2 linked regions of the Daphnia pulex genome follow. The protein of the gene in region 1 interacts with the protein of each later gene in a pairwise test. Links are inferred from orthologs where the notes say so. Each region holds a gene or a part of one and is shown on either strand. Other genes may lie near its edges.

Evidence for each region.
Region 2: the proteins of ribosome biogenesis protein BRX1 homolog (region 1) and probable rRNA-processing protein EBP2 interact in binary tests that used the Drosophila melanogaster proteins (3 or more experiments, as listed by UniProt). The link is inferred for Daphnia pulex from reciprocal best matches to the Drosophila melanogaster genes CG11583 and CG1542.

Annotation. Positions count from the first base shown.
Region 1 is NC_060022.1:6,872,217-6,876,034, reverse strand, and holds ribosome biogenesis protein BRX1 homolog, read right to left. Parts: upstream 2,087-3,818; 5' UTR 1,950-2,086; coding exon 1,839-1,949; intron 1,781-1,838; coding exon 1,625-1,780; intron 1,563-1,624; coding exon 1,442-1,562; intron 1,387-1,441; coding exon 1,262-1,386; intron 1,200-1,261; coding exon 1,064-1,199; intron 1,001-1,063; coding exon 906-1,000; intron 849-905; coding exon 549-848; 3' UTR 501-548; downstream 1-500. UniProt on the Drosophila melanogaster protein: Required for biogenesis of the 60S ribosomal subunit.
Region 2 is NC_060022.1:62,606-65,984, forward strand, and holds probable rRNA-processing protein EBP2, read right to left. Parts: upstream 2,043-3,379; 5' UTR 1,941-2,042; coding exon 1,869-1,940; intron 1,807-1,868; coding exon 1,723-1,806; intron 1,661-1,722; coding exon 1,349-1,660; intron 1,287-1,348; coding exon 1,015-1,286; intron 946-1,014; coding exon 681-945; 3' UTR 624-680; downstream 1-623. Other genes in the region: eukaryotic translation initiation factor 4E type 3-like, read left to right, coding at 1-52, 115-214, 283-320; uncharacterized protein LOC124195596, read left to right, coding at 2,618-2,683, 2,859-2,980, 3,041-3,136, 3,206-3,361. UniProt on the Drosophila melanogaster protein: Required for the processing of the 27S pre-rRNA.

The sequences.
Region 1 (3,818 bases):
GTCAATAACAGCATTGCCAAATGTCCAACCCATTACTAATGTACTCCAGGTCCAGGTTACCAGATACCAGGTATTTTAATTTTTCAAGTGTAAACTCACTTAGTCCCAGCCCAGTCCTCGCTGTCCTGCAGTCCTGTGTATAGTGATGCAGTGCCAATCCACCTTTCCACCCAGTCTATATGGTCTGTCTTATATGTCAAATAAATTTATAGACTGTTTCCACCATGCACCATGAGTTAATCCAAAGACAAACACACAGGAGTCACATATCAAGACCACTTCTTTATCTGTGCTTGAGTGGGAAATCAGACCAATCACATAATGACTCGCTTAAGACATAAAAAACTTCTGATTTCAGTTCACTAAGTGAAGACATTTTAAGTTGTCTGTTTTTTTTTATTGTAATCATTTCATGTTTATTTCTAATAAAATGAAATAAAAATTACTTAACCTAAACAATTTATTGTCTTTGTTATTTAAAAGGGGAACTCAAGAAAATATCAGCGTCAGAACGGTTTGTATTCAGTACGTCGTTTACAAGACAACAGTTATTCATCGCCAGAATCACCCAAGATTTCATTAAAAATAGCTCCAGCTCTTTTCTTGCCAGTTGCTTTTGGGTTCTTCATCTTCTTTTTCTTCTCTTTTTTCTTTTTTTTCCCACCTTCACCACGATTGCTCGCAACTTCTTTAACAATTTTAGCTGCATTTTTGTCCTCAAAAACCTCTTCATCAAGCGGGTCCAAATCGCATAGATCTCCTGTCGGTTGTCTTGCTGCCAGCGACAACTTTTGCTCAATTTTCTGACGATACTTCAATCCTGTTTGTAAGTTCAGCATTCGGCGATACTAAAGAAGAAACTTGATAGGATGTGTTGTAAGTGGAAAAGGATTATTTAAAAATACCGCATTTGGCGTAACATAACTAGAATTTTCCCAAATAGTTTCTCCGCCAAAACTCCCATCGAAAACTTTGATGGGATTCAACACAAATCGTGGCCCTATACATTCGAATCATTTTAAACAACAATCTTAGAAACCAAAGGGAAAAAAAATAAAAATACCTATTTCCGCAAGCTGACCATCCTCTTCAAGAATTTGAAAGTTTCGAAACCAGATCCGATTTTCAATTATCGTAAAAGTGAAAACATGGTCAAAGAATGGTTGACTTTTGGGATGATTTTTAGGAGTTGAAAAGATCTTAAAATTTTAAAATAAAAAAAAATTATGTCATCCTGAAGAAAATATAAATAAAACCTTGCCTGTGTCATGAGTTCCTTTAATAGAGACCAATGTGGATGTGTGTCAAAACTGGAGTCAAACGATAGCAATGGTCTTGTGCCCTTTAAGCAATTTCCAGTCATTTTCAATTCTTTCATTGTGTGCACTAGTAAAAAATAATAAATTTAGTACTGATCATATTATTACTTTAATAAACTGACCATTTTCAATATAAAATTTAGCACTAGGCCCTTTTGGAACATCTGCAAGCCAAAGAAACAAATCTTGTTTTTTCCTTCCTTCAAAAAATATGCATTTACTACAATTCTTCATTTCACAAATCTACATGAAGATGTTATTTGAATATTAGTACTTAATTTATGAAATTGAAAAGAAAATGTTACTTCATTGATGACAAATAGAGGGTCCTTTCTCTCAAATTTACTTTCTGTTTTGGAGTGAGGCATCATATCACGCAAGTCAACCATCAAGTGCCTATCTCTTTGTGTTATTCCACGTGCAGCAAAGACAAGAACTCTTTGTTTGTTCACCCATTTCGCCTATTTGATTTAAGCATGAATTAAAAAAATTGTCACTGATTTTTAGATTAGCATATACCTTTTTCGTCACAGGCTCGTCTGATGTTCGCACCAATGGCAATGCAGTTTCTTCAATTTTGTTATCTTTCGATTCCGGCATGATGGTGCTCTTCTTTCTTTTCGCCATCATGAAAGTGTAAAAGCTTAAAAATTGTTAGCAGGCACTTCGAGATTTAAGCTTGAAATTCTGAACCAACTAACGACAGAATGTTGAAGCAGAAGACACAAAGACCACGTGCGAGTGAACGTATACTGCATTACTGCCTTCATTTGTTTTAAGGGTGCGTTCATAAACATATCTGATTTCTCGGCTGTCCCTAAACTGCGAAAGCGAAACGCGAAACGCGAAACGCCTAAAATGCGGAAAAGCTGTGCGAAACGGACCCAAAAGTTGGGACCCTGTTTCGCATTTTAGGCCTTGGGTCCGTACTAAAATGCGAAATCGGTGGGTGCGAAATGTCAACAGAACGTCAACAGACGACGCCATTAACATACTTGCGTCACAAAAATCTACTCGTCAAGGGGCGTATCAAGTAAGTTATCCGAGCAATCGCGATTCCATAAGCATACACGGGAAAATCCCTCTACCGGGAATCAGTTCGAACTAAATTTTCCGTGTATAAAATTTGATTGCTCCCCCCTTTCAATGTCTTAAACAAAAATAATCCCACAGCGCCCAGCGGGGTACATTAACACATTGTTACGTCGTCGACGTTCTCTATGTCATTCGATCAATCTGTTTCTCTTAGCCGGAATTTCTCTCAACAGTTGTTCGCCGAGGAAAATCGGCTGACCAAGTCAAATGGAAAAAACTATCAGCCGATAGCAGCCCGGCGTCTAAATATATATAGCTATTCGATTAAAATTTATTGAAAATGCCACCCAGCTAAAACGTGCTGAAAGCTTCTTCCGCCTCTATTCCACAAAGACTTAATTGGAGATTTCTCATTCAAGAGCTCATCCGAGGGACCCCCGTGCTCTTGAAGAAACAAGAGTAATCGAGTCGACTAAATAAATTTAATTTGATAAGACTGTTTTCCCATGAAATACAAACATTTTATTTTCAAAACTCTAGCGAAAAGTAATATTCGTTAATATATAGTGTACACAGTACACACATTCATATCCATACATACATTCACATTACATATACTATGAGTCATGAAACATGGCGGCCTAAACGGGCCTCATCCGTCAATTTGCACTCTGGTGGGGAAAAGAAAACATTTTCGTTTCGCATTTTGAGGTTTCGCATTTTAGTATGCCCTCCGGCATTTGGTCCCGCGAAACGGTCCAAAAATTTTGGTCCGTTTCGCACAGCCTTTCCGCATTTTAGGCGTTTCGCGTTTCGCGTTTCGCTTTCGCAGTTTAGGGACAGAGCCTGATTTCTCCATTCCCATTCGTGGAAAATGTTCCAATTCCAAATTTGAAAATGCTGTCTCAGACGGCCACTGGATTACGAACTTGTGCTCTAACTTAACTAAGCTATTACTAAGCTTAAATTAGTTAATATTAATAATAATTTATTTTATATAATTCCTTAATATATTATCTCTCCTCTCGCCAACACAAGACTCGAGCCAATCGCATGTCGCCATGCTCGCAAACAGATAAAGGCCTCTTCAGGAAATAAACTAAACAATAAACGAAAGCAAGGGTATGGAAAGATGGATGCCAATGACCATGTTAAATTTCCCATAAGGGGATTCGACGGCAAGCTACTTTGCTACTTTTTTACTAGCGATTTTGTATGGAGGTCGAGTTGAATCAACGCCATCTAGGACGTTGCGAGTTGCGACATATAAACAGTCAACTCGACCTTTTAGTAAAATGAGCAGACGGCCCCTTATGGGAAATTTTTAAAAATGGATGCTGGAAACCATCTCTCCATAGTCCATACTCCATACCACTGACGAAAGGCAAGGCTTTCAAAAAACAGGGTTATATGGTTGGCTGCTGTGCGAAATTGGAAGCGAAAGGAAGCTTCTCGATAAGTCGA
Region 2 (3,379 bases), about 6.8 Mb from region 1:
TGATATTTGTGGAGTGTCTGTTTCTGTCAGAGACAGAGATGATATTGTTCAGGTAATATTAGGCTCATTTTCAACTCTGACAAAAATTTAAGTCTCTATCATACATTTTAATAGATATGGAACATAGACAGCACTAAAGCTGACAAAGCCAGGATAATTCAGAAGATTCAAGAGCTTTGTCCCAATATAGAGTTCCAGGCTGTCTTTTACAAGCGTAAGAATGATTTGTTGTTTCTTGAGCTATTGGAACATGTCATTACCTTTTTTTAATTTTTAATTTAGCACACCAAACTCACCATGCTTATGAAGGCGCCAAATAATAATAATAGGGTATACGCTGCCACGTACGCATAAAAATGACGGGAATAAGATTCGTCTAAATAATTTACACCTGTCAAAAAAATCTATCCCCGTATCATTAGTTCTTGTTTTATATTTTGTTTTCAGAGGGAACCAAATAAGGTCGTTCCCATTCAGTAGTTGCGTAATAGGGATAATATTTACCCGCTTTCAGTCGATCTGTTTTATCTTCAAAAAGAAAAAAGAGTATAATACTTGTACATTCAAGAAAACCTGGCCAAATATGTGTAAATACGAATAAAGTACACGCGATAAAAACGTCATTACTGTGTCACATCGTTTAATTCATTGGAAAGCAAGTCGTTTAAACATTTAGTTTTTTAACGTTTACGGGCACCACCACCACCTTTGGCTTTCTTGCCTCCTCCTTGTTTCGCTCGGCCGCCTGGTCCACCTCGTCCTGCTTTGCTGTTTCTGTCGTTGCCGGAATCTTTTTTCATGTTGTTCTTCTTTGAACCGCTTTTTTTGCCACCAAAGCCAAATTTGTTTTCTTTCGACGCGCGTTTATCACCTTTGCCTCCTCTACCCTTCACGGCACCCTTGCCTTTACCCTTGCCTTTGACTGGGCCTTTGCTCATGGGTTGACTATAGAATTAAAAACGACAATTAAATATAGCACAACATTAAAATAATTAAAAATATAGTTGGCATTACAAGACTTTGGATTCGTTCCTTTCCTTCGTCTTTTGCTTGGTGATTTCCACCATGTTTTTCTTCTTGCCGCCGTCATCGTCGAGGAAATCGAGTGAAGCCAATTTGCCTTCGCGGTATTGCTTGACTTTGGAAAGGAGCTCCTTCTTCTCCTTGGCGCGTTGAAGACCAACTTCAATTTGGACTTTTTTACCATATTTCTTGAGCTCTCTGAGTTTTTTAACTTTCTGACATTTTTCCTGGGCCATCTGCTGCGTAAGAACTCGCCTTTTGACCTATCACAAATAATAATGCTGGTATTACAGCTCCTTGACAAAACATTTAACAAAAAAATCACCTTCAACATGTGATCGTCAGATTTTGCCATTTGAGCAAAATAGTCTTCTGGTCTCTTTGTGGGAATTCCTAGTGTTTTGAGTCTGGCAAGCCCTTCAATGATGGCACTCTGTGCTTGGCGGTAAAACAATGTTTCCCTCTGCAGATCATCGACGATTCTGTCCCCAGGAGTTTCAATCTTGTACTGTGGTTCAGTATCCTCTTTGCCATTGAGAATGCTATCGACAATTGGCTCTAGTGATGTGGTCAAGTCAAGTCTTTCAACCCAGTCCAACTTCAGATGTATATCGCTTAGCTTCGAATTCAGCAAGGTCTGAAGAAGATATAAACACATTAGCAAAATGACTCAACTTGAAAAGAAAATGTACGCATTACAGTGTTGTTGGTAAAGGTCCGTGCAACTTCTTCTTTTTGGTTCAATCCGGGTTGCACCTCGCCTCTCTGATAGGCTTCTAGCAGCTGAAAATAACAATTGAATATTGAGCAACACAAAATGGAAAAAAAACGACAAAACTAAATACCTCTTCATCAGAATCAACTTCACTTTCATCGCTATCAGAGCTGGATTCATTGACGGGGAGTTTTCTCTTCATTGTGAATTAATAATTATCAACTCTTTTTTAGGCGTCCTTAACCACGAGTTGACGGCACCGCAATTCTTTCTGGCAGAAAAGCAGACAAATTTCAAGCACGTGTTTATACCTTTATGGAGTCACCCTAGCGGGAAGGCATTGAACCTCTTTGTACGGCAGCGTCTCATGGGGTTAGGCAACCCGTGAAACTGAAAGGAGACGTGGCCTTGAGTTTTTCTTGTTCGACGTAAACAAAGGTTGCCGTTCCCGTCCTTCGATGTTCTGTAGCAAAATACAGATGATAGAGATAGAGAAGAGGAAGAAATATGGTGTTGCTCATTTTCTATCTCGCCAACTAGTGACTGCTGCGTTAACTAGTAAATGTTAGGCCAGTCTCGCGAGTTATTTTAAATGTAGGGGGTGGAGAATCAGGATTTTGGATCCCGTCTACGTAAGCGCTAGTGTCGGCCACATTTTTCGGCTGGTTTTCATCTCTCATCTGTGTAAATCAATCAAATCTATGGATTCTGTTCTATCTTTCCATTATTATTTCCACGTCGGACGTTCGGCTAATTTTGAGTTTGAAATCGTTAAAATGGTTCTGTTGTTTTGTTGTTGTCACTTTTTCTGAAGACAAATTAACGGCGCTTCTATTGTGGCCTTTGGTTGGTTGCTGTTGGTGTCAAAATTCCTAGTAAATGATGTCAAGTTTGCCTAGAAGAAAAGCTGCTGAGAATATTCTTAACAAAATTCACCAAAAGCAGGTATGAATTCCTGTTTCATAAATTTCAACCAATCTAAGTTACTTGTTTATCTGTTTGAGTAAAGACCATGTGGTTTATTGTGAATTTGCTTCGTGTAAATTGTGGTCTTCTTTGTTTCCCCCCAAATCTCCATAATGGCTCATTATCATATTGTTTACACTTTTGCTGTTTTTAGCTGACTGGAAAGTGGGAAAACTACAACTACGGACAGGGTAAAGCTTCACTCTTTGGACGCCTGAATGAAAGGCTAATCTTTCAACTAGACAAAGTAATTCCCATGTCAGCCTTAGAATCAGGGTAAAATCTCTACATTTTTAACTATCACCAAAATCAACTAATATCCGAATTTTTCAACAGACATATTCTTCTTGGGTTTTCAAAATGTGCTCAATTTTTGTTGACATACACACATTCAATGGAGCTGGAAGTAAATCTGCTGACTGTGGTCCACAAGTAAATATTCAACTAAAAATAGCAGCTTTGCACCCTATTGTGTCATCTAACTATTTAAAAACAAAACAGGTACAAGCTACATTGGTGGAATTTTGTGCCTTACAAACAGGCCAGCAAGGTTGCAGAGGTTACTTTGTTCAGCGATCAAGGAGTGTCTCTGGCTCTGCAAATAGTGTTGTGCTATTGGCCAGGTGATTCTACTCGTTTACTAGTCCATGGAAGCAGGTAATCATTTTTTGTTTG